2 linked regions of the Drosophila melanogaster genome follow. The protein of the gene in region 2 interacts with the protein of the main gene of each other region in a pairwise test. Each region holds a gene or a part of one and is shown on either strand. Other genes may lie near its edges. The genes, in order: CG9304 and CG15153.

Region 1 (17,106 bases), on a different chromosome or scaffold from region 2:
AAGCTGCGAGGAAAAGCGACGAACTTTCGCCCCCTGCACACAGACCCAAAATAAACGCATTAGGTTTTTGGAATTGGAATTGCGGTTGCAGCTGCTGGCAGAAGCCGAATGCCCAACAAGTCATAAATCAAACACGTTTAATTAAACTTTACGCACGCCAGTCCCCACTGCCCTCCGCCCAACGTTCTTCGCCACTTTCCATCCGCCCCCGCTAGAAGAAGAAACTTTTCGACTCCACACTAAGTAAAAATGCAATTAGAATTGCCAGAGGCCAAAACGACTCGAATGGAAAGCGCCGATCTGTGGAAACGGCCACGCCCCCCGTGCTCGTGCCACCCCTTTGACTTCTGGTCACGTGGCGGTACGTGCATAACGGTTACTTGCATTGGCGGAATTGTAAACTAGCATCAAGTATCCCTAAAGTTGAAGTGCACTCGAAGGTGGTGCTATCACCTAAATCGGTGCAATTGCAACCAGCTGCTAACGATTGGTGTGGGTCCAAAAAAATGGATGAAAAAATTTAGCAGTTTTAAATTTCTTTATTTTCATTTAAGATCTTTCAAATGAAAAATTTGGGGAAAAGGAAAATTAAATAAAAATGGGAAACGCAAAAAGGGAGCACTTCCATTACATAGAGCTTTTGATATGCTACTAACTAAAAGATCCACTAGTTTCTTTCTTAAAAGTGAGTAATGGGAATTGAAGATAGTCTTCTTTCAGCTCCATAAAGGTTATGTGTTGTATTTTAAGAAATCCACTCATTTAATGAGCGATTTCTAACTTGCACCAATTTTCTGCTTCCACTTAATTTTTTATTTCCCAAAAGAAAGCCACAACTTGTTAAAAGCCGCACAAATGCACTGGCAGAAACTGTGAATAATGTGGCAAACTGTGTGCTTGCCACCTCTGCCTTGCAGTTATCATTCGGCACTCAGACCACACCACCCACTGTAACAACCAAACCACCCAACCACCCAACCGACCAACCGCCCACCGCCTGTCATTGCGAAGGAAATCACGCAATAAACTAGCGGCGAAAACAAAACTTTAACTACTTTTTCCGCTGGCCGCAGAAACTCAGTGGGAAAACTTTTTTGAAACAATACAATTTATATTTATGCGCAGAGGCGACGGCGATGACAAAGAGGGTTTCGGTTGGAAAATGGTCGGAAAAGGGGGGGCTGTGTTTGCGACTGACCCAGAAAATGGGCGGCTAAAGAAATGCTGGCCAGGATTCTGGCAAAGAGCAAGGAACCGAGCCGAGGAGGCAGAGTTTATTTTAAGTGTTGAAAATAACTTGACCCACATTTGTGTGGTTCCCCTATTCTGGACTCGCCCACCCGCTTTTCCGGGTGTTGATAACTGTTTTTCCGACCTCCAAATTCCCCGCAAACTCCTCGGAAAACTTGTCCATGTCCATTCAGAGGGCTCAATGTTGAACGAAGCTTAGTCCGAAACTATTGCCAAAACTTTATAACAAATTAATTGCATTTTAAGGGCATGCAAGAACCAGGGATGCACGAAATATTCAAATTTTCATTCGACTCACTGGACTGTGAGGAAAACTACTAGACTGGCCCATTTCAGTGGGATTTGACCACGACTAAACTAAAGCAGAATAACAATCTAGTAACTATCGAGTTTCACAGTCGTTATTTAGCAAAGCGGTATTTGTTTACCCAATATAAATTAGATCATTTTAAAAGAGGAAAGCACTGAAGGGAATCCTTTTTTTACTTGAAATGTAATTCTTCTTCTTGACTTGTGTTCATAATTTTCTGTTTACCCAACAGAGGAGGCAATCTGGACGTTTTGCCAAATAAACTTATCCAGTTTGCTAATTAGTTATCAAAAGAAATCGTGTTTGCTCTCGTTTTGTGGCTCGGGCCATGTCACAATCCCAATCCCAGGCACAATTTGCAATCGATACACAGACCTTGGCCAATTAACCCCTTGCCGCCCCATCTAGAACTAGTTAGGTGGCAAAAACAATGCAATCGGAGGATGAAGGACGAAGGAATGGCAGAGGAATGATGAAGTGGGAGCTCATAATGACCCAAAATCCTTTCAACCCAAATGGAAATTCCCCAGTCGTGCGTATAATTGGAATTAATACAAAAAGCCGTCGAGGAATATCGAACCACACGGGTAGAAAGGAACACAGTCGCAGTGGGTTGGTTAAATCGGATAGTATTGTGCCCCACAGGCCAGACTTAATGACCAAATCCAGCCCGGGGGCCTGACTTCCTGAGAGCTTGATTAAATTTGATTTGTTAGCCTACAAAGAGGTTTCGCTACATGGGGCTTAATGCACTGAGAAACAAAATCTTTCGAGAATCAATGATTAGTCTGATTAACTATACTATAAGTTTTCTTGAAACTCATAAATTCATTGCAGAAAAGAGGATCGAAACTGAAATACATTTGATTAATCGCCGCATTTATTTACAACTTTCGTGTGGCTCAACAAATATTTTCTCTCAGTGTGCACACATGGTGTACATATGTACATTTATTGAAATTATTTGTTGCCTAATTTGATCCTGCTTCTGGGCGTCAAAATATATTATGATTTTTGACAATAAGAAGGATTTTGGCCAGCCAAATACATACATATGTACATAAGGAATTATACTTATGTACATATGTTATTTAGAGCTTAGAGCTTCTGTTTATCACTTTTAATTTCTTTTTTCAACTTTATTTTTTAAATCAAATTGTACAAGCACCAAAACTTGAACCAGCACATAGAAAAAATAAGCCAAACTCGTTTGCTTATTGAAAATAAATAGTCCACAGACCTTATACGTTGACGGATGACAACGAAGGTGATCCGAGAAAAGTTCCAGCTAAAAATGTATGAAAAATTTTATATCGTATATTTTACCAGAAAAATGCTACCTGCAAATGAAAGTCCCTTTTGACCAGCTCCAGATGACTGAATTCTCGCAGGAGGTCTCCCATTTTCAGGTCACTTCTCCGCGTCACGTCATCCACAACATTCATGAGCAAAACAGCACTCCAGTAATGAGAAATCACCACCCACTGTCCCACGATTCTTGTGTAACTTGAGGTTTCTATGGTATCGTTGCCAAATTGCACTCCATGATAAACCAGATTCACGTTTGTAACAAACATTTTCAGCAAAAGAAGGGCGATGGGCAAGTCAAAGGTTCGAAAAACTTCTCGGACTAATCGCTGATTTTCCGCAAAAAGTTTAAAGAGCTTAGCCAATTTTCCGAGGGATCTATTGGCCTTGTTTTCTGATAAAGTCAAGGAGTTGCGTTCTTCATGATTAAGAAAGGAGCACAAGTCCTTGAGTGCTATTTGAAGTCTCTCACTTTGCCAGTGGAGAACTAATAGGATCACACATATTCCCGTCATCATAAAGACCACATATATAAACTGTGTAATATGGGCTACAATCATTGCAGTTTTACTAATTCTTTGTACTGAATGAATTCTAAACAAAATTAAAGCCCCCAGCAGAATGCTGAGATTTGCGACGAGTAACATCTGGAAAAGTACATTTCGAACTCTTTTCCGCAATTTAGAATACTTCTTAGAACGATTATCCAGTGTTTTGCACTTAAGACAGTGAAGTATTAAGTTTTCACCCAAATTCAAGATCCTTTTTCTTCTGAACCACATCAGGAGAACGCCCGAAAACATGGCCATAATACGGGTGATGTTGGTTAGATTAAATGTCCATTTCAGGACTGGATTGCTGCTCATGTAGCTGTCGTCGTACATGTAGTGGGGAAATGTGAAGGGCAGGACGGTCAGTAGACCGCCGTGCAGGCAGGCCGTATAGATGAGGTACCATCTCTGCTTATATCCCAAAAGAAACTGTCCTTTCTTCAGAGGAGCAGGCATCAGACCACAGCCTATTCCATATATGTACATGAATTTCAACAGCATTTCGTACAACTGCTTCCGGCAAAGGACACCCGTCAACTGTTCTATAAAATCGATGGAAGCTCTGTTATCCTGATGGAAATCGGAGAACCTGTCTGCTCATCGTAATTCCATCAGTAAGCTTTATATCCTAATTAGTTGTCTGCCGCGTTTAGGACGTGGTCAGTTACCTGGCTGCCTTGACTGCAGCATGTTGCATCCGAAACTTGGTCGCGTGATGAACGTGGTCTACTACCATTCCGTTGTCTTCGCCCTAATGAGCACTACCCTAAGGATACGCTCCTGCAGGAAATGCCTACGCTTGGAAAAGGTCTCGCGAACTTACACCATCTACAGTTTCTTTGTGGGCATATTCCTGTTTCTAAACTTGTACTTCATGGTGCCTCGGATCATGGAAGATGGCTACATGAAGTACAACATAGTCCTGCAGTGGAACTTCTTTGTGATGCTCTTCCTTAGAGCCATCGCTGTGGTGAGCTGCTATGGAACCCTGTGGCTAAAGCGCCACAAAATCATTCAGCTCTATAAATACTCGCTGATATATTGGAAGAGGTTCGGACACATAACGAGGGCCATAGTGGACAAGAAAGAACTCCTTGACCTACAAGAGTCCTTGGCCAGAATAATGATCCGGAAAATAATATTACTCTATAGTGCTTTTCTGTGCTCCACTGTGTTGCAGTATCAATTGCTCAGTGTGATTAACCCACAGATTTTCCTGGCTTTCTGTGCCCGGCTCACGCACTTTCTGCACTTCTTGTGCGTGAAAATGGGTTTCTTCGGGGTACTGGTTCTACTGAATCATCAATTTTTGGTAATCCATCTGGCCATAAACGCTCTTCATGGTAGGAAAGCCCGGAAGAAATGGAAAGCTCTGCGTTCCGTAGCCGCCATGCATCTGAAAACCCTTCGATTAGCCAGAAGGATCTTTGACATGTTTGACATCGCTAATGCCACGGTGTTTATCAACATGTTTATGACCGCTATTAATATCCTTTATCATGCCGTCCAGTACAGCAATAGCAGCATCAAGTCAAATGGTTGGGGCATCTTATTTGGCAACGGATTGATCGTTTTCAACTTCTGGGGCACCATGGCGCTGATGGAAATGCTGGATAGTGTGGTGACCTCCTGCAACAACACTGGCCAGCAACTAAGGCAACTTAGCGATCTACCAAAAGTGGGTCCAAAGATGCAAAGGGAGGTGAGTGTGCTCAGCCTCAAACAAAATTTAATATATACTAAACAATATTCCACTTAGTTGGATGTTTTTACCATGCAGCTGAGGCAGAATCGGTTGGTCTACAAAATATGCGGAATTGTGGAGCTGGACAAACCCGCTTGCCTTAGTTATATTGGCTCCATTCTGAGCAACGTCATTATCCTCATGCAGTTCGATTTGAGACGGCAAAGACAACCCATCAATGATCGTCAATATCTCATCCATTTGATGAAGAACAAAACAAAAGTGTAAAGAAAATCATATATCTTATATCTATCTACCTAAATGTTCACCATTTATACACGGTTTTTTTTTTTACCTTGATATGATACATAAACGTAAATCAATCAAGCTTTCAGAACTTTACACGAAAATAGAAAGCTTTCTCGCAGCTTACAGGACTCTCAGTCATGGGAGTTTTATAGGATATCAAATTCGAATTGAAAGCTATGATTTTGTGGCTTTCTTGTATAGCGGATAATTTTAAGATGTCTCCAAAAGAGTTATGTATTGGGGCCAGCTAGAAATAAATACATACATATGTTCCTTGTTTTCTATAAAGCTTAAATATATAATGTTTTATATAAAATTTGGAAGATTTTAGCAGACCTTCGAACCCAAAAACATTTTGTCAAATTACTTGATATTGAAATTTAATTGGATAACTTTACACACATTATTTTTCAACCATATTTTTTATAGGCAATCTGACACAGAACTAACACATTGGTTATTATACTTCTGGTCATGTTGTGAACGGTTAAATTACTCAAATCGAACAATCCAACGATGTGCAGACGTCTCACACGTTTTGGATTCAGTTGAAGTTTGCGATTCATGTAGAGCAGGGAAAACTCTAACTAAAATAAAGCGTTAGTCATTATCTTTGCACTATGAATTCAATACAAAATATTTACCTTTCTTGACAGAATCGTTCCACTGCTTTTAATGCATTGCCTTCCCGAATAATTGATGTCCCACAGATTTCCGACATCTTCTAAAAGTCCCAACCACTTACAGCGGTTGATCTCGAAAATGGAAAATTGCATTACGATTTCGACGTGATGGGTCAGAAAAATAATCGCATACAATATGCCCTTCCATAAATGAAAGTTTTTATCGAACTCCAAATAAATCCACAATCGAAACAAAACAGCAATGCTGAATATATAAGTGGTTAGCAGGTTGAAGAGCACCTGCCACTGGAAGATGTCAACGAACTGCTTGAGCAACGCATCCAAACGGCGACAGCGTCTCCAAAGTTTTCGCCAGGCGGCAAGGATTTGCATCAGTCCCATCTCCCGCGGAATGCCATTCCGTTCGGGCAAGACCTCTAGATCTTGGACCATTTCCCGAACCCCCTGGGTCATATTTACCAGCAGCCAATTGCCAGCCACTTCGACCATATAGACTGTCATATCCACATAGCTCATTAATAGAATCATGATTAAGGCATACACTATGGCAGCACTTTGGTACGGAACCATAGCTTGTCTCAAACTGGAGTTACTCTCGCAATTAACCACCGAATCCCGGGTCAACAGCTGCTGGGTTAGGAGCACAAATCGAGAGCTGGTCAGCAGACCCTTGCACAGGCATCTATTCCTGCAATCGTTTCCAAGGTTAAATCGGAATTTGTGCAACATCTTCATTAAGTCGTTTCCCAACTTATACAGTCGACGTCTCTGTATCCAAACACTGCTCATTAGGAAGAGCATGGTCAGGAGTTTGGTCAGAGCCACCACGTTGTAGACCACTCCAAACATGCCCGCATCTGGACAATGGTAAATGTTGCCAGTTAGCACGAACAGGGCAAATGGAAGGACCAAGAGATAGACCACATTCAGGATAACACAGTAAACCACTGTGGGCACATGATTGAGGATGAACCGATGATTCGAGGAATCGTAGTGCAGATTGCAGAGTCCTATCAAGCGGCTCACTTGAAAGTAAGTATGCAGCAAAAAGTATTGATTCATTGTTCTGGACGTTGAAAGCGAAACTAAAGCTAGAATTGAATCCAACATAATAGTTGATTTTAAAGCAAACTAAAAGGACTCCAGGGACTTTCTAAAGGACACGCAACGAACGCAACAGTGGGACTCACTTGCATCAAGGGTTTTTAGCTATTATTATTTATCTTCTTATAAAACGTAGAAAAGTATGTTCATGCTTAAATGTAATATTACTTAATTAAAATATAACTTCAAAACTAAATAAAAAAATTAAAATAAAATAAAACAACTACTTATATATGAAAAAATTTGTATTTTCAGTTTTAAAAATTATAAATTAATAGGTTTATAAAACGGTTAACTTGAATTTTGATATGAATCACGTGTTGTATGGTACAATGAGTTTTATAGAGTATTGAAGGTTCAAATGTAAAAAATAAAAGTTGTTCGTCGGTCTACTTATCAAAAAGCAAATCAAAGTAGTTATCTAAAAATTATTCATTTATTCAGCTATTTTTCGTTTTGCAATTTCAAGTGGTTTTAGCTCGTGTGTTTGGATTGTTCTTATCAAAATACCTCTTGGTTGCTTATCTTAGTAGGTAGTCGGTAGTTTGTTTAAATGTAAGCTTATGCATAAACTACCGCAACGAAATGATGATGCTGAAGCGTATTGTATCGAATCGATCTCCTATGCGTTAACTAGAAACTAATTATAAATTCAAGCATATTACATAAAATCACACAACAATCTCTGGTGCATTCTTGCACTCGCTCTGACTTCGTTGTAAGTGGTTACACACTATATGGAATATACACTCAGATAAATTTGTGTCGAGATAATGGTGGGTCGATTTTAAAAACTCAGCTCAAGTCAAAAGTCAGTTAAATGTTAACTTAATTGTTAACTAATTGGAATAACTAAATTTGTTTACTAAGGGAGCGACTTTTTAGGAAACTTGCTGTGTCTCAAAATAGCTAAGCAAATACTTCAGTTAAAAAAGCAGAATATCGTTTTCGGCCAGAAAGTAGTACTAGTGAAAAGATTGGAAATATCAACCCACCTAAATCTAGCTATATGTATGGTTTATGCTTAGGATGAATAACATTCCGTGTTTCATTTAGCACAATTGACATCTACACCTAGTAATTAACCCGTTGCATTTACGCCACAATATGACTGTTTTTGTTAAGATCGGTGAGCAGCTCCGCGTCGAGGTCTTCAGCCTCCAAAAGATCGTTGCAGGCATCGCCGTTTAGCGAATGTGGAATGCTAGTGGATAGCACCATCCCCCGACTCCCCGTACCAACGGCAATTTCATCGGGCGGCGAATTCCGACGCCTCTCACGCTCCCTGACAATGTGTGGCGCTTCATTGAACTCGTCCAACTCATCCATGCCTTAAAAGGAAATTACCTTATTAAATTGTCCGAGTTCGGTTATATCTCAACCGCACTCACCCGCATATTTGGTGCCCGCTAGGAGCAGATATTGGCCGGCTCTATGTGGCCACAACAGACCTGTCATCACACAATAGGCCATGCAGTCCGCCGAGTTGGTGATACCTTGCAGCAACTTGTAGCGCCACATGGGGCTGACCTGCAGCGCCACAATTGCCACGATGGGTAAGTAGATAAACCACACCAAACTGGAAGCGCCCAGGTGAAGTAGAAAGTCAAGTTTTTTTGTTGAGTGCTCGTACTTCATGGTGTTGCGGAGCTCGTAAAGAAACCACATCATAAAGGAGGTGCTGTCAATTTAAAAAAACAGTGAGTCACGTTCATTTTTACAGCCAAAAAACTTTAAGGGCCTACCGTAGTATTAAAACTATCCAGCCGGGCCACGTCTGGTATTCATCGATGTCGGAAACCACATCGACTTCCGTCTGAAAAACATTTGTTTTTAATGAAAGTCTATAAAGCTTATTTCACATCTTACCCTATCCCAGATGTAAAGGAACACGTGGAACGCGCAGTATGGCACCCAGATGGACATCAGAATTATCCATCCCGTTCTGCTGATTTGCTGTCTGGTAACTGCCCATCCTTTGGCCAGCAGCAGCAGAATTAACATAAATGTGGTGCGGCTCAAGATGTCCAGGACATCTCCAGCTGCCTGCAATCTTGGCTCGCCCACTCCATTGGCCGCATAGTGAATCAGGTGAGCGGTGATCAGAGCCAGGCTGACGAACTCGCTGAGAAGACTCACGGTAAACAACTTGGTCACTGGATGCTTCTGCCGCCGCACCGCATAAATTTGCATGGGCAGCAGAACAATGTAGACGAGCAGGAACACCAGGTACATCTCCAGTAGATTCTGCTGATCGTACGAGTACTGGTAGGTAAGTGGATGTGCGGCCGAGTTGTTCGGATGCAAGTTGACCAGATGTATGTCGTAGTGCAGCGTGTTGAGGAGATTGCTGTCCAATTTACTTAGCCTTGGCAGGCTCTCGTGCGCGTGCCACTGGCAGGTGCTTTTGTTTTGATAACAGGCCACCAGGGAGAGGTACCAAAATCTGTCAACGACGCGGGGGACAACAAAATACATTAACCAGTTAAAACAACAATGCTTCTATGGAAAAATAAAATTATTCCAAGTCATTTCCAAATCAAATGTTATCTCAGTTTTCCGTTACAAAAGAGGAATGCCGCAACAAACAAACAAAGATATAAGGTTTCATTTTATCTGCATGGAGCCAGCTCCATACCAAAAGGCCAATATATAGAGAGAATGGCAGTCTCTGAAGATGAATTGGGTTTTTTTTTGCAATCCAATTCTTATCTTCCGAATTGTAAGCCCAGAAAAACCCATAACTCACCTTGGTTCCGCCTCCAGGTTGATAACGTAGGTGAACTGCGATCCCGGGACTACGTTTCCGGGTTCATCTTCATCGCTGCAGAGCTGATTGACGGGACAGGGAACATGACGCAGGAAGTCCCTTTTGGCACGAGGATTGCACGTGGAATCGTAGGCGATCCTTTGGAGGCGGGAGAACATCCCTGTGCAGGCGGCTTCCCGGCTCCTTTGACTGCGGTTGCCGTAGAACTCGAGGAAAGTCCTTCTGTCCAAGACGACGAGTGTCAAAGGAACCGCATACTTATCCGTCGACGTGACATTGCCGTAGATATATCCATAGGCATTGCGCCGTGTCAGATCTGCCTTGTTGAAGCCGAATTTCGCCAGGAACTGAAAGAAGTCGCCCGTCTGGAATTGTCCGCTGATGTGGGTGGCATTGCTCGAGGGAACAGCTATCAAGATAATGATGCAGATGCATCCCAGGAGAATAGTCCTGCGATTGCAGGCCCACCTTTCACTTCTTATCAGTTGTTGTTGTTGTTGTTTGTTTGCAGCCTCTTCCTCTTCTCCCAATGCGGGATTCCCGGACAGCTGCCACTCCATTCCGGATGCCACGTCGGCACAGCCCACTCGCCAAGGAGGCGCCCCTTTGTGCATCGCTTGCAAGTTGGCACACCGAGGTCTATTTTTATTTTTGTTTTGCGGAAATTTCCACACCACAAATCCGCAGTCGCTAGTGATGCCAAAACGGCATCGATGCATTTGTCATCGGAGACCGATGTTTCTCGCGATAATTTAGCTTGTTTCTTGATATCGATTTGTTAGCAGATACACACTCCTGGCTTCTCGTCTAGCCGAGACAGCATCCTTCACTTTTGGGGAACTTTTTAAAAATGAAATATACAAAAGCATTTAAAAAATAAATAAATAAAACCTACAGAGTAAGTTCAACTGTTGAACAAATACTTTATATTTAAAGGGAAGAGGATGACTCGCAAATTTTAAAATTTTAGGGTATACAACTGAAGCCCGAAATTATTTTAAAATGTGTAACTATGAGTTAAAAAGGCATTTTATATAATTAAATATGTACACATAAGAGCATTAAATTATTATCAAAAGTTATCGATTTTAGTATGCACATTTTCAATTCCCTTGTGAAATTCACAACAATAGCATACAATTCTAGGATTAATGAACAATAGAACTCTTTAGAAGTTACCCAAATGGGCGTCTCATCTTATCAATTTCTTATACATTAAGCCCTCACACGCATGCCAATGGCAATTTCGAACAATAAATTTTCATAATTCCCAAATTTATGCTGTAAAAAGTGCCACCCTTTCAGCCCCAAAAACTTCAAAGTGCAAAGTTGGATAATACGTATGTAGCTACCGGATGCGTCACCCTAACCCCAACGAACATCCCTTACGCTTTATTTATTTAAAATGCAGCTCGCGGTGGCGGGAAATTCTCGTGTGGATTGTGGCTTGCCACGCCCCCTTTTTCCCATTTCCACCAGACAAGGTGCAAAAAATCCACACTCTTTGACAATTCCTTTGAGATTTGATTGCGGGAGGGAGACAGGTGAAGAGTGTGCGAAAGGGAGAGTGCGGTTTTGCATAAAAATATGAAGCCATTGAAATGTAGATTTACCCATTGTGATGTTGGCAGATGAAAACTTTGATTCCTTTAGCAGATCAGGCGAAGCTTACAGCAAGTTATGTATCCTTCCTTCCCTCGATGACCCACATTTTCGACCATTTTTCACTCATTCATTGATGACGCTGCAAAAACGAAGAAGGACTCGCCGAAGGAGCAGCAAAAATTCATGAGTTTTTGGCATTTGTTGACAGCCACAGTTCACTCAGTTGTGCAAAAGTCAAGACAAACACAATAAATGCGATTCTAGCAATGGAATAATACAGTCAAGCATCCCTAATTATATATTTACTACAATAGATATATATTTTCTACAGAAATTTTAATTGGCTGTGCTATTTTAATTCTATAGCGTTAAGATACTGGAACTCCATCTCTGGTCAGTTGATCCTTTTCGCTTATCGAATCTTGCCTGTACTCGCTGGCAGGCCAATAATAGCTGAAGCGAAATAACTTACGACAAATTATTCGGCAAATATTAAGCACACATAACATGTGAACAAGTCAGAAGTTCATTTCAATGTCTGCCGACGACCCCAATAATAAAATCCGACAAGGTTGGCAAAAATACAAAAGGAGCGCAATTTGTCGTCCCTCTCTGACGGACTACCGCCCTCTCTTTCCCACTGTCCCCGTCCCTTTCTGTTCGATTGTAGAAGCGAAGCGAAGTTCATTGAAATGCCAGCGACGAAACATGGACAATGAAGGTTCAATGATGGCGAGGTGGAAAAGTTGGGGAGTTCCTCGCCATGATTTCCGCCAACTTTGCACAAAGTGTATTTTATTTTTGATTAGGCCGACGCAACTGTTTTTGTTTGGCCAATAAAAAAAGATGACTGGGCAGTCGGCGTGATTAGACAGATACACAGATACAATACAAAGATCGATCGACAAAGCCATGACTTATTTTAACACTAAACGTATTCCTCCAGTCGAGGAAGCTTTGATTTAGATTTCTCCCAAGTGCTTTGATCATATAATTTTGGTAAGATATTAAAGGTTGGTTTTTGACCTATTAATCTTAAGCTTAATTATGTTTCCCAGCCTGATTTGTGGACATGGAATCCCCGGACAACAGGCTGTACATGTGCACCGCGTGCTTTAAAAGGTTTCTTTGGAGCGAACTGTCGAGGAAGGAGCTCCGCTGCGCTCAGTGCCGTCTGTCAACCAAAATCTGTGTCATTTGCGATAAGAAGTTTGAGCCGCGCGAAATGTCGCAAGTTTACTGCAAGCAATGCAATTTCTACATCGAGAGACATGCCGTAGTCAAGCCCCCTCCCTTGGGTGTACAAATCGGAAAACCAGCGGAGATGACCAGTGGGCCAGGTACGGAAGGATCTTCGATCACAGAGCGCTGGAAGGAGATTAAGGCCGCCGCTGGAATCGTGGATGACTTTGATTGAATCGACATGCGTTTTATTAAAATTGATGTATCATCTTATGAAGAAAGATAATTGCTATAAGTAAACCAATATATTCATTTCCCTGATAGTTCAATCTTATATTACATGTATTTTAAGCTGTTTATACTACTATGTTTTAATATAATGAAAATTCCAGAAAGAATTAATCGAAAAACATGCGTCGAACAAATCGTGCCGTAAAGTAGTAGATAATTTCCGTAAAGCTTAAGGCGCTGCAGCCCAAGAAAAATCCAACAAGACCGCCGATGTAAACTGAAAGTGAAATGCGAGCGTTCTTAAGTGAGTCGGAAAAACTTTGGGCAGGAGGAAAAACTCACCCAAAACATCTGCGAAGGAGAAAAGGACTTCCCGCCGTAGCTGCATGTTTGGGTATTTGGGTTTCAATGGTTAATAAAAAATGAACAGTAATTAAATGTTAAACAAAAATATTAATAAGTATTAGGCTAATAACAAGGTGTTTACATAACTGAACCATAAACCGAGAATTAGTTTTAAAATGAAAGATTTCTTTGGGAACCATTAAAGAAACATATATCATAACCAATTTACAAATCCTATTGATTAGCCTTTACCTGCATTTTTGGGTGCTCCAAAATACCCCACTGCAAATTGGCTCCCAAAAACCAGACACGCGAACGCTATGGAAAATTCGGGAAATAGAGGGGAAATAAGGAAAACACATAATGATACGGTATATATATAAGATAAGAGCAACAAAGCGCAATGGGAACAACATCATCAGTATTCTGGTAACAAGGCAAGTAAGCAAAAATTATTATTAAATGTAAAAACTTTCGCCGCACACAGCGCGAAAAAAAGGTAAACAAAACTTTTGGTTTGCCGCCCCTTTTCGTACGCCTCATCCCCAAAATAATTGCATATTTCAAGGCTCCCAGTTCCTGCAACTTCTGCGCTTATTATTTTTTATAGCCCCGGACTACAATTTTGATGTTTGTTTAAGGCACAAGACCCCGCTCTCCGGCTCTTCGGCTCTCTCCCTCCGGCGGATTTTCCCCAGTTTTCCGGGCATTTTTCCACTTGAAATGCGCGACGCAGCGGCGTCTGCAGTTGCCACTTAACGAGCGCTAGATGGCGCTTCTGTTCGCCATAAACATTTTTACAGTTAAAGTTTACTTTATATTTTTTAATAGGGGATTTGCCATTTTTTCATTTATTTTTATTATTATGTGCGATGTACTTACATAGGATTGCACAAAGAAATTGGAATCATCACAGTTGGCCAAGCAGTTGCAATTGATTTTGTATTTGTCCGATTTCAATGAGATTATTTCGCCTGAAGGAAAAAACAAAAGGTTAATAACAATTTATATTATGTTAAGCTTTAGGTATAGGTAACTTTAATCAACTGCTATTTAGTGAAAGCATCGTCCATATAATATTTATATTTTTAGATATTATACTTAATATTCTAATAGAACACAAGCTTTTTGTTCAAAACATTTATCCAGCTTATCAACGTCAACCTGTCCGTAATCTGGTCTCCCCAGCAAATTACTTCCCGCTTTTCAATTACGCAACAGGTTGTCTATTTCAACCTTGACTTTTGACCATCCTACGGAAAATTAAATTATGGTCACGTTCTGGGAAATTTCAGTCCATTTTTTTATTCAGACGAAAAATGTAAATCGAATTTCCGGGCCACGATAAATATTTGCATGTTCCCGGTGCGGTGGAAATTACTCACGTTTAATTTTGACCAGGCATCCGATGCCCTCCAGTCCGCAAACAGGCAACCGCCGGCCATTTCGCACTGGAAAACATTGAAGAAAGAGACGAATGGAGTGCACTGGAGCGGGACAGATAATAGTGCAAAAGTTGCCACTTAAACTGTGAGTATTTAAGCATTTTACGACCGAGTTTTCGCCATAAAACTGGACAGCTCCGATGCAACCCCGTTCGTCGCATAAAAGTTAACTTTAATGGGGGCCAATTAAGTGCAACTCTGTGTACCGAAAATATGATTATACCCACAGCGGTTCCTGTAGAAGTGCGGAACGCAGCCGCAGACCCGCAGAGCAAAGAACATCCTGCACTCCGAGAGACAGAGGCCAAAACTGTAGATGGGCACCGTCATCATTTCCTCGGCCTCGTAGTTGAAGCGGCAGCTTCGCTGCTTCGTACTGAAACTGCCAATAAATAAATATGTATATTGAAAAAGAAATATATTTTGAGCCTAAAATTTAGCAATCTTGAAACTCACGCTCTCGCCTCCTCATTCGTAAAGATCTCCAGGGCGATGAGCTCCACGGTGGTGTAGTCACTTTCCGGGAATGTGTACCTTTGCTTCGAAATACTCGGAACATCGCCGGCACCGTGAAAGTAAACATCGTAGGCGGTCGATAGGTTAATAATCTGCGCGTAGATCTCGCCATCCAGCGGATGAACAGTCACCCGGTCGCCGTGGTCCATGAGACTCCAGTCGCCGGAACGCCAGTAGCTGCCAAGTGGCCAAGGAGAAGGCAATCAAATCGGGAGCACTTCCTGCCCAACAATTACTCACTCGAAGGAATTGTAGCGCGCCACCATCGAGTTGACTGAATGGCAAATGCCAAACTCCGTTTGCGTTTCGTAGATGAACATTTTGACGGCGGCGCCGCTGCTGATTTCCGGCTCGAAGGCCCATTTCAATTCGTAGAGCAGTTCCAAGTACTTGGTGCTCGGTATTCCATACGACTTGTTCAGCGGCAGTGTCTCCAAGTTGTCGTAAGTGAGGCTGGCAAGTTTCACAATAAAATCGCGGAAATCCTCTTGATCCTCCTCGGACAGGAATTGGTCGGGATGGGCGCTGTACGGGTGCATTGGGGAAAAAATGCACTTAAATGTGGTATACCACATATTTAGGAAACTGAATTTTTAACTCACAGTATGTACTCCTCCACTTTCAACTCATCGATCCGCTTATGCGGACAGACTGTGAGCGATGGAAAGCTGGTGTTCCAGACCAGCTTATTCCGATCCATGGATATAACCATTGGCGAGGTCTGAAAGCGATGCCAAGTGCGTTTGCTCAGCGAAATGATACTGAACAATGCCACGCAGATGAACGCCAGCCAGAGAACGCTAAAAAATGTGAAATAAATTCTATAAAAATCGTAGTGAAAATTCGCAAAAATGCGTCACACTCTGAAATGATATATGGAATCTGACGAATAATTCGCACTGCTGTTGAGTGTGCATTGTGGCGAAAGGACATAAAAATCTATTGCGTGTAAATTTTTTCTGTTCGCATTATGCGAAATATTCGCGGCGAAAGAATTATGGCCAACTCGAAGGAGGAGTCAATGAACGCATCAACGCTTTTGCAACCCTTTACTGGCTTTTCTTTCAGTTTTCCCATTCGGCTCGAATCGCCACAAACAAAGTGGCAAGGACACAGACAGAAGTCGCCGAAAATCCTTTGCTGAATTTCCCATTTCAGGCGAATGCCTTCTACAATGACATTTTGATGCCAGCAATGGCTCATAAAGCTTTCAGTGCGCTCACACACAAACACTCGGCTACTTGGCTTTTAATTTTCCCAAACATTTTCCAGCTCCTTATTATTTTTGTGTGCAGCTTTTCGCTCTTTTCTCGTCCGCTTTCTTTTTGTTGTTGGAATTTTCCTCTCTGACAGCTGAGTGCTGTACTTTGTCTAACACCACAAAATTCCTTTCGGACATCGCATATGACAGACTCATTGTCATGCCCGCACCCATTTCCCCGCCCATTTTCCCATTTCCCCCCTCGCAACTGCCATTTTCCATCTCGTGTCGGTCTGGCCTGCAATTTATGTATTTGCTTTGTTTCATCATCTCGACACTCATATGCATAAAATGTGTGCGTGAATGAGGCCGAGTGATGCATGTTGGATGTCGAAAATATCTCGTTGGTAATTCGAGCATCAAGGGTTGCTTTCATACTTTTTTGTGGATTGGTGGATTCTAGAATGCCCACATAGTTTCTGGCTGAGGTATGCAGCTGAAATGTGTGTGTGTGTTATGGGATTAATAATGTCGAAATGCAAAAAACTCTTAAATATTTACAAAGCAAATCGAAATTACAATTCTAGAGCCAAGATATCTTATCTGGATCTTTTAACCCTTGGTATAAATTCAAAGCAAATTACCAAAAT
Region 2 (15,609 bases):
TTTTAAGATATACAAACAGGTCTTTATTCATCTAGTGAATACTTTCCTAAGCTAGTCAGTTCCACATCGATGCTGGAAATGCTTGGCGATTTTGTCGTAGAGCTCTTGTTGCAGGAGAGGGAATCGAAATTGTAGGGCTGTACTGTGCGGGATGTTGGACGATTCAATATACCAGCAGCAATTTGATCCGCTGTCCACTTGGCCAGTTTTATTATAGCAACCTGTGCGACAAATTGAAGGATCATTGCTCCGAAGCCTTTGTAGAGTCCAGCAGCTCCCTCTGAAATAACGGTTACCCTGTAGCAATCGAATAATCCACGATAGTCTGTCAAAACCGGGACAACTGAATAACCAGTATCAAGATTATCGATTATGGTTCGGGTGCCCTGCAGTTCTAGGCGATGCAATATGGTTTCGAGAGGGAAGAATACAACCTCAGTGGTAAGCATGGCTATAAGTCCGGCATAAGTTTTCGCATTTTGGTTTTCAAGCTTATTGTCGGGGTTTTTTTCACATCGATTTTCCAGCATTCTCCTCTGCATCATTCGAGTGGATACGCCATGTATTAACAGGTTGAAGAGATACTTTGTAATGCCAATCGAAATACTCGGACCGATTAATGCCCAAGTTGGTAGCATTCGAGTATTTTGCGGGGACCTCCATGAGAAAATGCGAGCTCCACCTTCTCGAAGGACATCAAAAAGTCCTGTTTTGTCGCTGGCAATGCCGCTTTGCACTGTCTTCACCAAGGAAACGGTGTGGAAGGGCAAAACCAAAGCGATGCTTACAGATTTCAGAAGGACATGCTGGCCAAATCGCTTTAAGGTCGTTCGACTATCCAATTCCTTGGGCCAACTGCTGAGTTTCGATATTACATCGTCAATGGCGCAGGACATTCCACGAACAAGCAAGCAGCTGCCCATTCCCTTCCATAGTGTCGTTAGTCCTTGGCGTCTGTGCAAGTGGACAATACAGGGCAGCAGGGTAAAAGGATGCAAGTGGTAACACTTGGAGGCATTATAAACCTGACACTGCCAACGCAATACTAGAAACGGATGGCTCAACACATGTTCCGTGAGCAGAGAAACCCAATGAACTCCAACGACAAGATATTTGCGAAGTGATTCATCCTGCTCCTGATTATCTAAATATTTATCCAGCTTGGCATGTTCCGAACTAAGATATTGGATTTTGGCAATGGCATCCTGGTCTGCATTTATGTTTTCCACAATTGACTTCTCGCGGCAATCGATGCTGTTTTCCAAGGGATTCCTAGGGCTCCAGGCTGGGACTAAGTTGCATGTTTGCTCCTCTTTTTCAAGATTCTTATCAATGAGTTCTTTATCCGTGACGAGCTTGAGTTCCTGACATTCCATTTTATTAGAGGGGATGTATTTATCTATATGTTATCTTCTGTGTAGAGCTGATAAACGTGTTAAACATATCTAAATATAGCACTATTATAGTTTAAAATCGAGTGTCTGTAATGACAGATAGTGGTGAGACTTCTACTTTCCTTTTATTTAAATCGTTCAGTAAATAGGCATCTGCGGCAAAAAATAAAAATAATGAAGAATTTCATATGCATGCTCAAGTAAGTGGAAACACATTGAAGGACCCTAATTTTGTGAGCATCATTTTTCATCTCCTCGCGAGGCATCCGCGCGAAATTTTAAAACATTTCCCCCCTTTAAGCAGTGTCTATTGCTTTCAAATCATCCTCAATCTTGTGGCTTGCGGTTGCCTTTAGTCTGCGGAAATCAAAGGACACATTGTGCGCCGCCTGGCATCAAGTGCATCATGTGGCAAGCAAAGCCGGCAACAATGTCATTGTCTCCACCAGGGACTAAGGGGTATGGAAATGGGGGGTTAAGATTGTCATGCACATTATGCGGGTGTAGGACTTTGAATGAGGGGTAGGATCTAGGTTGGCACCCAACTCCAAAGTCACAAAGTCAATTCATTGCCTCTGCAGACGACGCACATAAATAAGCCAGGCCGAGCAAAGTTGGCCCAGAAAAAGGCTTTGACGAATGGGTGGCTGGCAAAAGTGGTTTTTGGTGGCACAGTCCGCTAGTTGATTGCGCATTAATTTGTGAGCCAGTCTGTGGAATCCCTTAACCATTGCCTCTAGGTTGTCTGAGTTATTATTTGCTTAAAGTTTTCTCCACTCAGCTGGGAAATGCACAAGAGCCGAGACTTCGAGATGCACTGAGAGCGGGAGAAAACTTTGAAAAGTAATAACAATGGCCAACTGACAGAAAGTTTAATACAATGATGATGTTGATGGCTGGAATGCATTAAATTAAATACAAACGAAAAGAAAGCAATTCGAATCAACAACGAGCTTTGTTTTCGACTGCCTTATTTGCATGCAGTTTCTAGTTTGTTTTCCGGCTCTTGTCAACATCATCCGGGAAAACTGATATATATATATATATACATATATATATAAGTGTGTTCTTCAGTTCGCATTTTCCATTGCGAGAATTCAAACTGGTTTCAAATGATCAAAATATTGTGAAATAAAATAAAGGTAACTGTGTAACTCCTCTGTTTTAAATACATTGATTTCCATTGAAGCACACATGTTTGTTCGGGGCAAGTTCAAGTTCACAAGCCATCGCGCCCCATAAAGTGTGCAACATAAATTACCGAAAGTCCCGAAATTCTTTCCCAGAACGTATCCTTTCGTTTGTTCGGTGCGCTCTTAATGCGATTGCATTTAAATTTATAGCGCCGCCAACAAAAGTGCTGCATATTCTTGCATATTTTTTCGGCTTTCTCCTCTTTTTGGCACTGCAATCAGAAGTGTTTGAGTGCCGGAAACAACTCGTTTTCCTTGACGGCAGCAGGGAGCAACACGTCGCTGTTTCGCTGCCTATCTGTGCGGTATGTTGATACTGTTGTTGCTGTTGTTGTGTTGCAATTGTTGTTGCTGCTGCAAGTTGCATGCATTTGCACTTGATAAGCAAACACGAAGGAGCGGGTTGGCAAGAAAAATCAACACGGTCCGGGAAATATGCATGTTCTTGTTACCGGTAGATTTCCATTTTAGATGGCAAAGTCGTCGCCGTGGCGTTGTTTATATTTATGATTTGGGCGTGGCCCGCCCTTTTGCCAGGGATGACGAGTTGCCGTGCCATCTGTGCATTATGCAAGCCAATCGAATGTCACTTAATTGGCTTTTTATGCGGCATATTTTAGTGATAGACTCGATCAGGCGGTGACACAAAAACTGCAAATGCACTTAGGAGTTGCAAGGACATTGTCATAATATTCGTATAGCACCGCTATTAAACGAAAAAGCCAACAGCAATAAAACTATAAAGAGTCTCTGACTCTTTCGTGAAACATAAGCATTCAAATGCACGCGGAAAAATATAAAACGTCTTTAAAATAAAAGTACATTTAAGAAATAAATGCGCTGAGAAGGAAATACTTTTGAAGAAATGGTATTAAACATGAACGTCATATGTCATATTTCATATACCCTATTTTTGAACGTACTGTTGTCTTGCATTTGATGACCCCTGTCGGTGACTTCATTCTCCGAATGTGTGTGTTTCCATGCCTTTGACGCTCAGCACCTGTAGTTTAATGTCGTATTCGTTCAAGCTCCAGCCCACTTCTGCAATTTTCTCGTACATCTTGAGCCAAAACAAAACAAGTTGTTGATCACACAAAGCTGGCTTCAGTCGAGAACAGAGCACGGAAAACAGGAGCTGAGCCAAGAGCCTCAGCCCGAACCGAAACTGAACAGGCGTCACATCTTGTTTTTGTGCCGGGGGCTCAAAGGTAACGCAAATGGGCACGACATGCAATCAGGGGGCGGGCACGGGCGTTCAGGGGCGTGGCTGCGGGTCGAAGGTGGCCAGGACTGCCGCCAACAACTAAAACAAAACATTGACATAAATACGTGAGCGCTGCTGTGGCTGCGGTTACAACAAAAGTTTGTGTTTTTCCTTGGTTTTTCGCTTTTTTTTTTTTGGCTTGTGAAATGCCCTTGGAAAGTAGGTATTACAAATTGCTGATGAAGTCTGCCGGGAATATATGGCTGAGTGGGTATGCAGGATTGGAGCGAAGTTTTTCTGGTGTCCTCGGGTATGGTTATAAAACTTATTTAAGTGTTTTGCGGTGGGTGGGTAAAATGTTCTAGATTTTCGAGAAAACTTTTTCAAAAATGATTCGAACAAACTTTTTATTTTATTTTAAATGATTTGTTGTAAGAAAATACGATTTCCGCTCAAAGTATTTGGTTGCTTATAATGGAAATATCAAAATTAAGTTTTCGAAAATTGAAAGTAGAACTGAGCTTACAAATGCCAACTATGAATTATAAAAACTGTGGCTTGTCGAAAAAATATTAGTTAATTGATAGCAAAATTACAAACATGCCATGCCAGCTTGTAAGTTTAAAATGTTTAATTATTAATTGAAGAGCATACCCTGTTTCTTGAATAACCCTCATAATTTTCCTTTTTTTATATTTTCCATTTTCCTTTCTGCAAGCTACGTTAGTTTGCTCACTTTTTCCACCTTGTTTTTGCTTATTAGTACATAGTTTTCATTTTTATGCGACGGCTGCACGAGCTTTTTTGTATTTTTATATTTATTTCTTTTGAAGGTTGCTTGCCGCCTGGCTTTGTTTTTTAACTGGGCTTGTACTTGCGCCATAAATTTTTAAAACTTGATCGCGAGTGTGAGCCATGGTGTGCATTGTTGATGTTCTTGCCGCACTCGCAGGCCTAGAAATGCAGAGCTGAAAACTCGCTGCGAACCATTTTCCCGCTGTTTTATGATATTTTTTTGTCGCTGTTGATATGTTAATCGCGCTGTGCATGCAATTTTAGTATTATTTGGCCATTTGTTTAATTTTAACGCCAGCTCGGCGGGTATTTTTTGTCACTTTATATGCGTTAAACGTAAAATTTAATAGATGTTGCACGAGCTTTTTAATTTTAATTATAGGGCGCGCACAAAAAATGGTAACCTATGCCGCAAATTATGTATTATGTAAATTGGCAGCAGGGGGCTGTACCACATATGCTCTCCACCATTTGAACACAATCAAAGGTATGCTCATATAAATGCCTCGAATTTTATTGTTTTACGTGCGCTGAGGTCCTTTTCGTTGCGTGTGTGTTGGTGTGAGACCTCATAAGTGTTGTAGGGGGCCATAAACGCCTCTCTACCTTTATCATAAAATGTGCGTAAAACTTCCTTGTGGCATTTATTGATAAAACGTTTGGGCAATGAATTCCTATTTGAAGAGAAGGCTTAAAGCCGAAGAGAACAAATGTTATCTGCCGGAAGGTGAGGGTGCAAACTGGAAGATTGCATGCCTGACGTGTCTCCCCAGCGCATTATTTATTCGATAATTATTACCGAGATAATGAAGGAAAATCCCACTTGGGCCAAATAAATTGGGTTGAGGGAAAAGTCCTTGGAGAGCGATATTTATACGAATTTATAAGTATAATTTCTATATATACTCAAATATTATATTTAAATAGTTTAATTTATTTTAAATATTTGGGGACACCTAATAATTAGAAGCAACTCAGTCTTTTTGCACTCGACGCTGAATCAGCGAAGTTGGCTCTGCTTTCGTTTACCAAAAATTTCATAACCGCGACATGGAATTTCCAGGGACGCATCGCTGTCCAAATACTTTATCGCCAGCAAACATCTTGTGGGCCTTATCGTCGAGTGTCAATGGCAGTTATCTGTCGATGGATACAATTGCTCTCAGAAACTGATATAAAAGCGCTGTTCAGCGAAAATTTCCCAATCGAAGTTCGTACCCCCCAACGAATTGGACCCGAAATGGATTTCCACCTGCTGATGATTGCACTCGTGCTTGCACCAGTCTTTACACCTGTCCACTGCCAGGTGGCCTGCAATGCGAGGAGCGGCCCTGTCCGCCAGAAACGCATCGTTCTCAGCAGCCCGGGAACAGGTGGGCTGGCCGAGTTGGACACTTGCCAGTACCGCGTGGCGCCGTGGAGCGGCCAGGTGTGTCAGGTGCGCGTTGATTTCGAGCGTTTGGAGCTGCCGCAGCCGCAGTTGAATGCCAATTCCGGAGTGCTGGAGTGCGTCGATTTTCTGCAGATACAGCATTTCCGGCTGTGCGGTCGCAACAGTGGTCAGCACTTGTATATACCCATTCGCCGGGGTCAGGAGCTGCAGCTTCTGTTTCGACTGGCCACGTCCCTCGGCAGGCAGTCCACCTGGCAGCTGACTCTCACCCAACTAGAGTGTCCCAGGGACTCCGCCAGGGGTGTAGGTACAAGGCAACCCGAGGTGCAAACACCCACTGTGCGACCGATTTTGCCCTTTTTGGGTAACTTCCTGCCGCGGACCATCTTTGGCGGACAATCTGGAATCGGCTCGGGTTCCGGTCCCGCTGCCCAGCTTATCCAGACTTTCACATCGCCTTCAAGTGCGGATCTGGAGATGTTGGCACCTCTGGGCTGTGATCAGTACTACAGGACCACCACTGGCGGAATAGTGAGCTTCAATTTTGCAGGTGGCGTCTATATGCCCAACATGAAGTACTCGATTTGTGTCAAGGGAGCGGCAGACAACGAGATAAGGTGAGTGAGTCACCACTCCGAATATATTTCACACGCTTCTCGCCGTATTCTAGTCAACATTTATAATTGTCATTCATTGCCGAATACTTCTTTTTTTTGTGTATTACAAATGAATAATGTTTTACTAGTTAGTACACAATAATTTCGTATTAACTATAAAAATATAATAATAATGTAATATTTCTCGGCTTTCTCCAAAACAGCTACAAGATCACGCACTTTGAGCTCTCGAAGGCGAACTCCGAGCAGCCAGGACCTGCCTATGACACCGATTGCCGCAGTACAGTGCTGACTCCGTTGCGCGTATCTGACTATGTGAGCATTCCCGATGCATACATGGTCGGCAGGCCAGAGCTGCAGGCCACTCACTACTGTGGCAATGGATTGGCTGGCCAGGAGCTAGTGGCCCGGCCGCCTTTTGTCCTGCGATTCGCCAGTGATTCGCAGTCCAGTGGATCTGAAACGGGCTTCCAGCTGACCTACACGGTCCGGCGGTCACAGGATTCCCTGGTGTCCACAGATCTGTAAATTGGCATAAATAAAGCCGGCAGTCTTAACTAAATCAACGCACACAAGTCAACTGGAATTGACATTATTAAATGCAGCAGTGATACTGGCACTGTGAACCAGGACATTCCATGGCCACGGATTTGCCTTAATTAAATGCCCGGCTCCGGCATTAAGTCACATGTATCTATATATGCAAATAAATTATGGAAAGCCCAGTGGCATATATGGCATGTGGTTGACAATAATGGCAAAATGCGTACGGGAAACAGGTTCATCGGAATGCGGATAGAATTTCATAGTTGATTATTTTGATGTATGCTTAACAATAATATGCTGAAGCAATTTATTGTCCTGCTCTTTCGAGGTGCGTAGGAGAAAATAATGCGAAATGGATATTGTCTTTGCGCAGGGCTCGTATTGCATGAAAGTGAGCAGATATTTAATTGAGAAATTTAATGGGTGTGCCATTTGATGAATTTCCGATATGTTGCATATACTTTACGATTTGGTCAGTCTTAATTTAAATGGAATTTAAATGGAATGCCACTGCTTAGATTGAGACTTAAAAAATAATCTTATTAGTTAGGAATACTTATATATTATATATAGGAATACTTATAGAGCAGTACCTAGCTCAAAAACATTTCGAGTACAACTATTTGACAAATAAGGTTTACTTTCCCAAAATTCTTCGAAATATTTTGGGTTCTCCCGTGATATTTTTAAATAAAATAACTTCGACAGCCACGTGCATATTTGCATTTATAATTGCAAACTGGTGTAACTTGCTTGGATATTCCGGTGCAGGGACAGCCATTCGCCACCCCCTCAAACTTTTCACACGAGCCGGCAGGAGCGGATGCAAAAGCTTTTCGGGGGAATGGGAGCCGGAACGCAGTGACATTTTGATGCCGACACAGCTGCCACAATTGCCAAGCCATGTATTTTTAATGAAAATTTAACAAAATTTCTGCGGTTTAAGTGCGAAAATTGTCGAAAGCGCGCAGAGCAGGTGGCTGGGCTGATCGATAAACATTTACACATATTCGGCGGAAACGAACGCGGAAGTGCGAATTTTTGCGATTCAGTTGATGGAACACATATGCAAGCTGCTGCAAAATGTTGAGCAAATAGGCCTTAGGCCAAACGGATATGAAAAGGGATAAATTCAGCATTAAAGGGGACATTGTTAAGTGTCTGGTAAACAGAATGAAATTGCATTTGCATCGATGACCAGAACACTGGGGAAATTGCCTTTCAAATATGCATAGTCATATGCTCCGACACGATGCCAAACAATGTGAGCCAGCTCTTTTGGTCTGACATCGACATCGACATCGTCTTCGACTACTTTCCCTCTCGAATTTATGTAGTCTCCTTTTGCTCTGGAAAACACTTTTGCTCGCTTAACGTTTCTATCCTGGGGCAAATTGTTTTTACCCGACCAGTCGACAAAAGATGCTCCAGCATCTTGGACCATCTTCCTTTGGGCCACCTTTCGCCTCTGGCTTTCTGCCAGCTAAAAAGAGAACTTTAAGCCTGGTCATAACCCAAACTGAAAAGCCAGCTGGGGAATGGAGCTCGCCTTTCATATGGCACTCGGGCTTAATGGTCACTTCATAAATGCAGGCAATTTGGGAGCTCGGCATACACTGCGTATGCGTAATGCAACTTTGCAGCTGCTAAAAGCCATGATTGTTGGCCTGGCGCAGTTTTAATTGCGGAATTTTCGGAAGGCAGTGCGATAATTGCAATATTTCATTTTATATTGGCTTCTAGCTAAGTAGCCGCATATTTGATTACATACTGTTTTTTTCAATTACCCCCCATCTACTATCAGTTTACAAACTTTATATTAATTTTAAAACTATACTAGCTGGTTTTTATTTCACGTTCGGAAATGTTGGCCAACAGAAAACTATAAACATAAATTGTTTGGTTGCCAATCTAGCCATAGTCAGTTTTGGGAACACGGTGGGGGAGTAAAATTCCGGAATGTTTTTTAGATTGAATTTTTAAATTTTTTCCCTCAACACACACTGGACGATTTTTTCTCTGTTGTTTTGGCGTTAGCCCGAAATGGTCTATGTTTATTTAAGCATTTTCTCACTGCAGATTTCCCCTCTGATGCTGTCAACTTTCTAACATCTGACCCAACGCCAAAGGCCCAATGCAATTTACGCTGCTAACAAAACATAAAACAAGAACCGTATTCATAGCACATTGCATAGAAAATTGAAACAAACATTCCCAAAAATAAAAATTCCAGATGCGGTTTCAACATTGTAGTTACAATGTCACAAATTATTAATTGCTAACGGATTTATTTATTGGTGGGCTGGCAGCTAAATTTAACATACATTTTTCACAATGCTTTCATAAACTACTTTGAGCTTTGCCAACCTCTATGAAAATGTAGAAATATTTTATGCAGGTATTTCTATAGCAATCAGCTGTAAATGTTTGATAGGGCTCTGTACTGTTTACTCAAAGAATACTAAAGTAGGTTCAAACATTAATTTAATGTCTGCCTTATCGCGGCTCAAAACGCAGACATTTTAACAAACTTAAATGCCAATTAAGTAACATTAAATTGTGCGAAAAATGAATCGGCACAGAACACGTCCTTGAGCAGAGAGAGACTGTCAACAATGACAAAGGAAAAAATTAAGCAGCTAAACAGGGTTTTATGGACGGTCGGCAGAAATAAACAAACAAGTCGGGTCCAATGGAACCTCCGGAAAATCTGTAAGCCACGGCAACATGACACTGGCCAGCTCACACCAAAAAACACACTTGGACTTGTCCCTTATACAAAGGACCAGGCCCGAGCCCAAGCCAAAGCCAAAGCCAAAGCCAGAGCCAACAACATAATCTACGGGTTGTCAGCAGCCCAAAAGACCATAAAGGCAAGGCAAACGAGCTGAAGGTCGCCGGACGAGAGGGGCACCCAAAGTGGGTGGAACGGGAGGAGCAAACAAATTAGTATGCAAGTCAGGCAGCCGATTAGGACACCGAAGTTTTCGCGACATAAACGGACGGCAGGCCACAATGGCAACATCCCATCCCATCACATGCCCTTCATGCCATTCAAGCTCTTTTTTTTTGGTTTTTCGGATTTAGCCAAAATAATGAAGTCGGTCACTGACGCGATCTGTTGCTTGTTATGCCTAGAGAAAAAACCGCAGGTTATGGTAAACACAGGTGAGTCAGGTGTTTTGATTTCTTGATACCGAAGTCGCTGCACAACTATTTTATAAAATGTTTGTATATTATACATAAAAGTGCATTTTGTGTTAATTTATCTTCAAAGTAAAATATTTATTTGATTATTGCTGCTAACAATTAGAACATGACGTCCCTCAAGAATATAATTCCGAAAGAATATTTATAACTGGGTATCATACACATTAAAAAGGTATTAAAATGTCAGCTAGTCTTCGCACCTTGACAAGCAATTTCCAAAATTAAATGTTCTTGTTTCTGTTCACAATTTTCAGCTCTACAGCTGACAGACTGCCTCTTTTTGTGTTATTTTGGGTCCTCTGTCGCTTTTGGGTGTTGCTTAAATATTTCATTAAAAATTCCACGCACAATTGCACATTGCTGTGGTTTCTTGACCAAGCATAGAACAACCTAACTGGAATAAGTCCATGTTTAATCTTTAAAATAACAGTGGCTAGAGAATTTTACTGAATTTAAATCGAATTACTACCACAAAATGGCTACTGCAAAGCGTTTAGTGTCAAAAGAAAATGTGTCTTACGAAGAATGTAGCTTTATTGGGAGGAAGTTTCACATTTGCGTAAATAAACAATAAATTTCACAGGCTCAGATGTAAATCAAACTAAAAACAGATAATCTAATAAAATGGTACAAGTTGAAGCCGAGCAGAAAAATGATAAGCCACATGTGCTCTAAATTTTAGTAAAAATGCTATGCAATCCTTTCATTTAACCTCTGTCAATTTGTCAACACATTTTCAAATTAAAATGATCAAGAATTCAAGAATGTTTTATTACTATGAATAAAATAGCATGGGTTTCGTTAAAAAGGAAATTCTCACTTGGGCCCAATAGCAAAATAATTTGAAAAATTGTAAGGATAATTCACTGGAATGATCTTAAGTAATTTGATTTATATGATAAGATTTAAGAAATAAACACTTTGCAATTATTTATATTGGTTTTTATATTACAAATAAAACATTCTTATTAAAGTACTTACTTTATTACCCCAGTTTTCTTGGCCCGACAGAGATTTTGCTAAAGTTATGGCCGACACATACTGGCAGTCATATAATTTTCATATTTTCATACATTGTTTAACTTGTTCCTTCGCCCTTTTCGTGGGCCACGAACAATGTGTGTGCAAAACGTAAGTTTGCGTGCTTGGTGCATATAAATTAGTCGCTTATAATATTCTTTTGGCATTTTTCAAATTTCCAGTTCGGTATTTGCCGGCTCTGCCTGGTGAAAGAGTTCGTACGCCATAAAGTATGCAGCTTACGTGCTCAAGGATTTCTCCCTTCCCGCCTTCTTAGCATAGCATGAACGAGCAGCAAAAAACAATTATTAACATATTAATAAATTTTAGCATATTTGAAAGGCCATAATTTAGTGTAATTCTAGATGCCTGCAGCTGGGCAACACCTGAGGGAAATTGGATAATCCAGCCAAGCACGTAATTTGCATTTTTTATGGCCGGGCCTTAAAGAGCCCTGACTGATTATGGCCTTAAACAATGCCCAAATATTCCCATTGATTAGCGAGATTATGGCTTTGTTAGCCTAAACAGTCTTATCAGTTTTGAGTGCATTGCAAATGTTTGTCGGGCCTTTGTTCGCTGTGCCATTTGTGTTTTTTTGTGATGAATATTCCAGTTACGACTATTGACATTCCCAAAAGAACTAAGCCAATTCCTGTATACATTCCAATAATCGCAGCATTTAGGGCAAGCTATTAAATAAGGTATTACATTTTGTTATTCATATGTAGATATTTTCCATGCTTTCCATCCTACCTTCAATAGTTTTGTGAGCCCTTCGTCTAATTCCGCATGCAATCTCATTGTAAATAGGGGTGCATAATGATCATAGGCCACGTTCTTGAACAAGCTGGATAAGGAGAAAAAACAAGTTTTTGGTTTAGATCTTGACCCTACATTGATATTAATATTTTCTTTGTCTTTAAGCTGATACTATCTATGTTAATAGTGACAATTTCACAGGTACAAGAAGGACGATTTTACGTTCCTGTGTAAATTAGTCTGTGTTAATCGTACTTTTCTTGAACAAATGGTTTTGGAGACTGGGCAGCGTCAAATAAAAAACTCACTCAATGGCCTCGTCGCGCACCACTTTCGTGCTAATCATAAGCTGCCCCCTCAAGCTCAATGGAATGCCGAGAGTGGGCTCCATTATCACATACATGCCGTGCTCGGATTCCTCGGGCTGCAGGCCAGTGGTGTTTTCCCTGTACATTTGATCTGTGAGGAAGAAGTGCGGATGCGACATGTAGAACGGGCCATTGAAGGCGGGAGGACCGTAATCCAGGACTCCGTTGCGCGGGCACTCGCGATTCTTGAGGCAAAAGCACTCAGTGTCCGGCGACAGCTGGCCATTATCGATGGTGAGATTGGTGGACTCGTATCGCCAGACATCAATGCCGTCTATGGTGAGATTTTCCTTTGGAAACAAGTTCAAGTACCGCGCTGCATCTGGTAGGAATATGGTGGTGGGCTGATCCCACGTCCTGTACGGCGACCAGAGTTCCCCCGTGCTGCCATTGACCTTGCCGCATTCGCCGGGATAAAAGCCGGTGGTGTTCTCTCCATTCCACAGGAGCAGATCTCCCAACTGGCTGAGATCCCCACGGCCAGTGTGCAGTGTAAAGTTTCCCTCGGCCGTCTTTGAGTTATTCCTCTCGTAGAACCAGCCAAAGGTGTTGTCGTAAACCGGGAGCAGGGGCGAATGCAGCTGCTCCACGAAGTCAAGCAGATGGTCATAATAGCCATCAAAGAGCCACTGGCCAGCTGTGTGGGTCATATGGGTGGCGCCGCCTTCGCGATTGAGAGTAAAGTTCATGACCTTGCGCAGGATGCGGCGCAATCGGCGCGAGTACAAAGCAGCTGTCTAAAGCGTATAGCGGGATTAGAGGGGATTACTGGATGTGGCGACAGATATTCGGACAGAGATATTCGGTATTCTTAATGTAAGTTTTGCCGTCAAATAGCATAGCACTCAACCTTTAATCAGACTTACCAAAGTAGGAAAGTGTGGGGCTATAACTACATCATCAAGCGATCCATTTGACTTTTCCGGTAGAAAATGCCAGGTACGTTTGCCGAAGTAGGTCACCTGGGGCTGATTCCATTCCAAATCTTCCTTGACCTTAAAGTCACTGAAAGTGTAAGGCCCCAGCTGCTCAAAGTGCGGCTTAACGCCCTCGGTGTTCAAATCCCCCGGATTAGTCCAGTTGAAGAGGAAAACTGTGCTATATACCGGCGTGGGCGTAGTCACCCAGCGATTGTAGATAAAAGAGTTGGGAGCCAGGGGCAAAAGACTTCGAATCCATTGCCGAGATACGGCTGGCCAGGCTGAGGCCAGAAAAATCCCAATTGCCAGGATCAGGCCTCCCATGGAGAAGACCCAGATCTTTTGCTGGCGCACACTGCAGCAACCACAACGCATCGCCTCCGATCGATTTCGATACTGGTACGTCAAGCAATTTAAACGGGGATATTTATAAGCGAGCCCACTTTTGGGATACATTGATGTTCAATAATGGGAATGCAAGATTAGATTTCAAGAGCAAATTAACAGGTGATTTTTTTATTTTTATATTTGTTTTGAATTCTCCACTTGGAACGCTTCTGATAGGCTAATCTCCGAAAGCTTTTTCAAGTGGCTTGTTTTACGGCCTGAGTTAAATGTTATACGAAGTTTTGTGATTATATTTCGTTTCACTCATTAGATAAATCATTAGATGCACTGTAAAAAAGAAAATACAACTGAGATACGAAATCGTTTAAATAGGTATAGGAATCACATAACTATTATACAAATTTGTTGAGTTTTTTAAATCTTAATTTTAATGATTTTATTTAATTTTCTTTTTCTTTTGTGTATATGAATTAATTATAAACTAAAAAAGACACACAGATGATGTTTGAATTTTAATTTTAAAAACAATTAAAAAATGTTCTAAAATAAAACCTTTATTTAAAGAGCCTATTTAAATTTGTGTACAAGCTTCTATAAATTCATTCACTCAATCATTTAAAAAACCACATAGATAAATATAAGCTTTAACTAATTTAATTATTGTAAAATGAAGACAATAGTTATATGAGTTTTTTAAATTTTATTAATTTTTTCAGTTGTTTAGAAGTTTTATATTTTAAAGCTAGAATAAAAAATGTTTAGAGTTATTTATCACATATATGTTTTTTGAATCACATCCGTGTGCTGCTCATTAAAAAAAATGTTAATACTAAATTAAAAGTTTCGTTCGACCACGTTGGCCGGAACTTCCGGTTCATATGGAGTTTCCTCGTTATCCTTGAGAGCCAGTTTGTCCAACTCGGCCTGGCCATACCACTTCCTCTTAATGGTAAGTAAGATGCCAACTGCTATAAGAATGCAGCCCAGGCACAGGAATCCCACTCCAGTATATCTCCCTATAGCCGGTAGATTCAGTGCCAACTAAAAGACAAAATGCATTATTTAAAATAGAAATCAACGTAGTTCAACAAGCTCTAAAACATACCCTAAGTTCTGAGGCGAGGGCTTCGTCGATTTCCGCTCGACTAGCAGTGGTAAAAAGTGGTGCATAGAAGCTGGGCAGGCCCTTCAGTATGCTAGGAAAAAATGTGTTTATCAAGTCATATATATGGTAGGCAACAATTATTGTAAATAATTACTCTATAACGCTGTCTGGCTCTATGTACAAGGTAATCATCACATTGGCATTGACCTTCAACGGCACTCCCATCTTGCGCTCCATGATGATATAAAAGTTATTTTGATCGTAATTCGGATTGTAGCCGCTTATCGTGCTGCCATAACTTTCGTCCGCGTACATAAAATGATCCGCAGAAAGGTACATGGGAACTCCATCGGCACACGGTCCTAGGTCAGTGGCTCCGGTTGCAGGACAATTATCTGGCTGGCGCTCCAAAGGACACCAGCACTTCGCGTTACCATTGATCTGTCCATTGTCGAAGGTATTCGGCGTTATCTCGTACTTCCAACCCGTGATGCCCTGAATTGTTTCGCTCTGTCCGGTGAACTCAAGATTTATGATCCGACAAGTATCCGGAATGAAGATGGTCAAAGCCTTCTCCTTGGGCTCATCGGGCACAAAAAGATCCGTGGTGCTGCCATTGAGACGTCCACATTCTCCATCGTACCATCCCGTGTGATTCTGGCCCTTCCAATACTTAATTTCACCCATCTCCTTGATGTCACCCACTCCGGTGTGTACAGTGAAGGGACCCT

Evidence for each region.
Region 1: the proteins of CG15153 (region 2) and CG9304 interact in a two-hybrid assay, tested with the Drosophila melanogaster proteins (one large-scale study listed by BioGRID).

The regions. Positions count from the first base shown.
Region 1 is NT_033778.4:21,966,675-21,983,780, reverse strand, and holds CG9304 (uncharacterized protein), read right to left. Parts: upstream 10,660-17,106; 5' UTR 10,651-10,659; coding exon 9,911-10,650; intron 9,608-9,910; coding exon 9,031-9,607; intron 8,978-9,030; coding exon 8,907-8,977; intron 8,843-8,906; coding exon 8,553-8,842; intron 8,493-8,552; coding exon 8,257-8,492; 3' UTR 7,395-8,256; downstream 1-7,394. Other genes in the region: Gr58a (gustatory receptor 58a), read right to left, coding at 2,682-2,849, 2,902-3,921; Gr58b (gustatory receptor 58b), read left to right, coding at 4,109-5,122, 5,180-5,392; Gr58c (gustatory receptor 58c), read right to left, coding at 5,824-6,000, 6,058-7,119; CG34029 (uncharacterized protein), read left to right, coding at 12,609-12,953; ppk9 (pickpocket 9), read right to left, coding at 13,117-13,226, 13,292-13,331, 13,547-13,612, 14,177-14,268, 14,680-14,745, 14,937-15,115, 15,196-15,432, 15,496-15,780 and 1 more.
Region 2 is NT_033779.5:18,082,459-18,098,067, reverse strand, and holds CG15153 (uncharacterized protein), read left to right. Parts: upstream 1-5,811; 5' UTR 5,812-5,829; coding exon 5,830-6,599; intron 6,600-6,802; coding exon 6,803-7,127; 3' UTR 7,128-7,331; downstream 7,332-15,609. Other genes in the region: Slc25A46b (solute carrier family 25 member 46b), read right to left, coding at 24-1,376; CG31741 (uncharacterized protein), read right to left, coding at 11,912-12,067, 12,132-12,225, 12,446-13,242, 13,372-13,800; ninaD (neither inactivation nor afterpotential D), read right to left, coding at 14,608-14,814, 14,879-14,969, 15,033-15,609.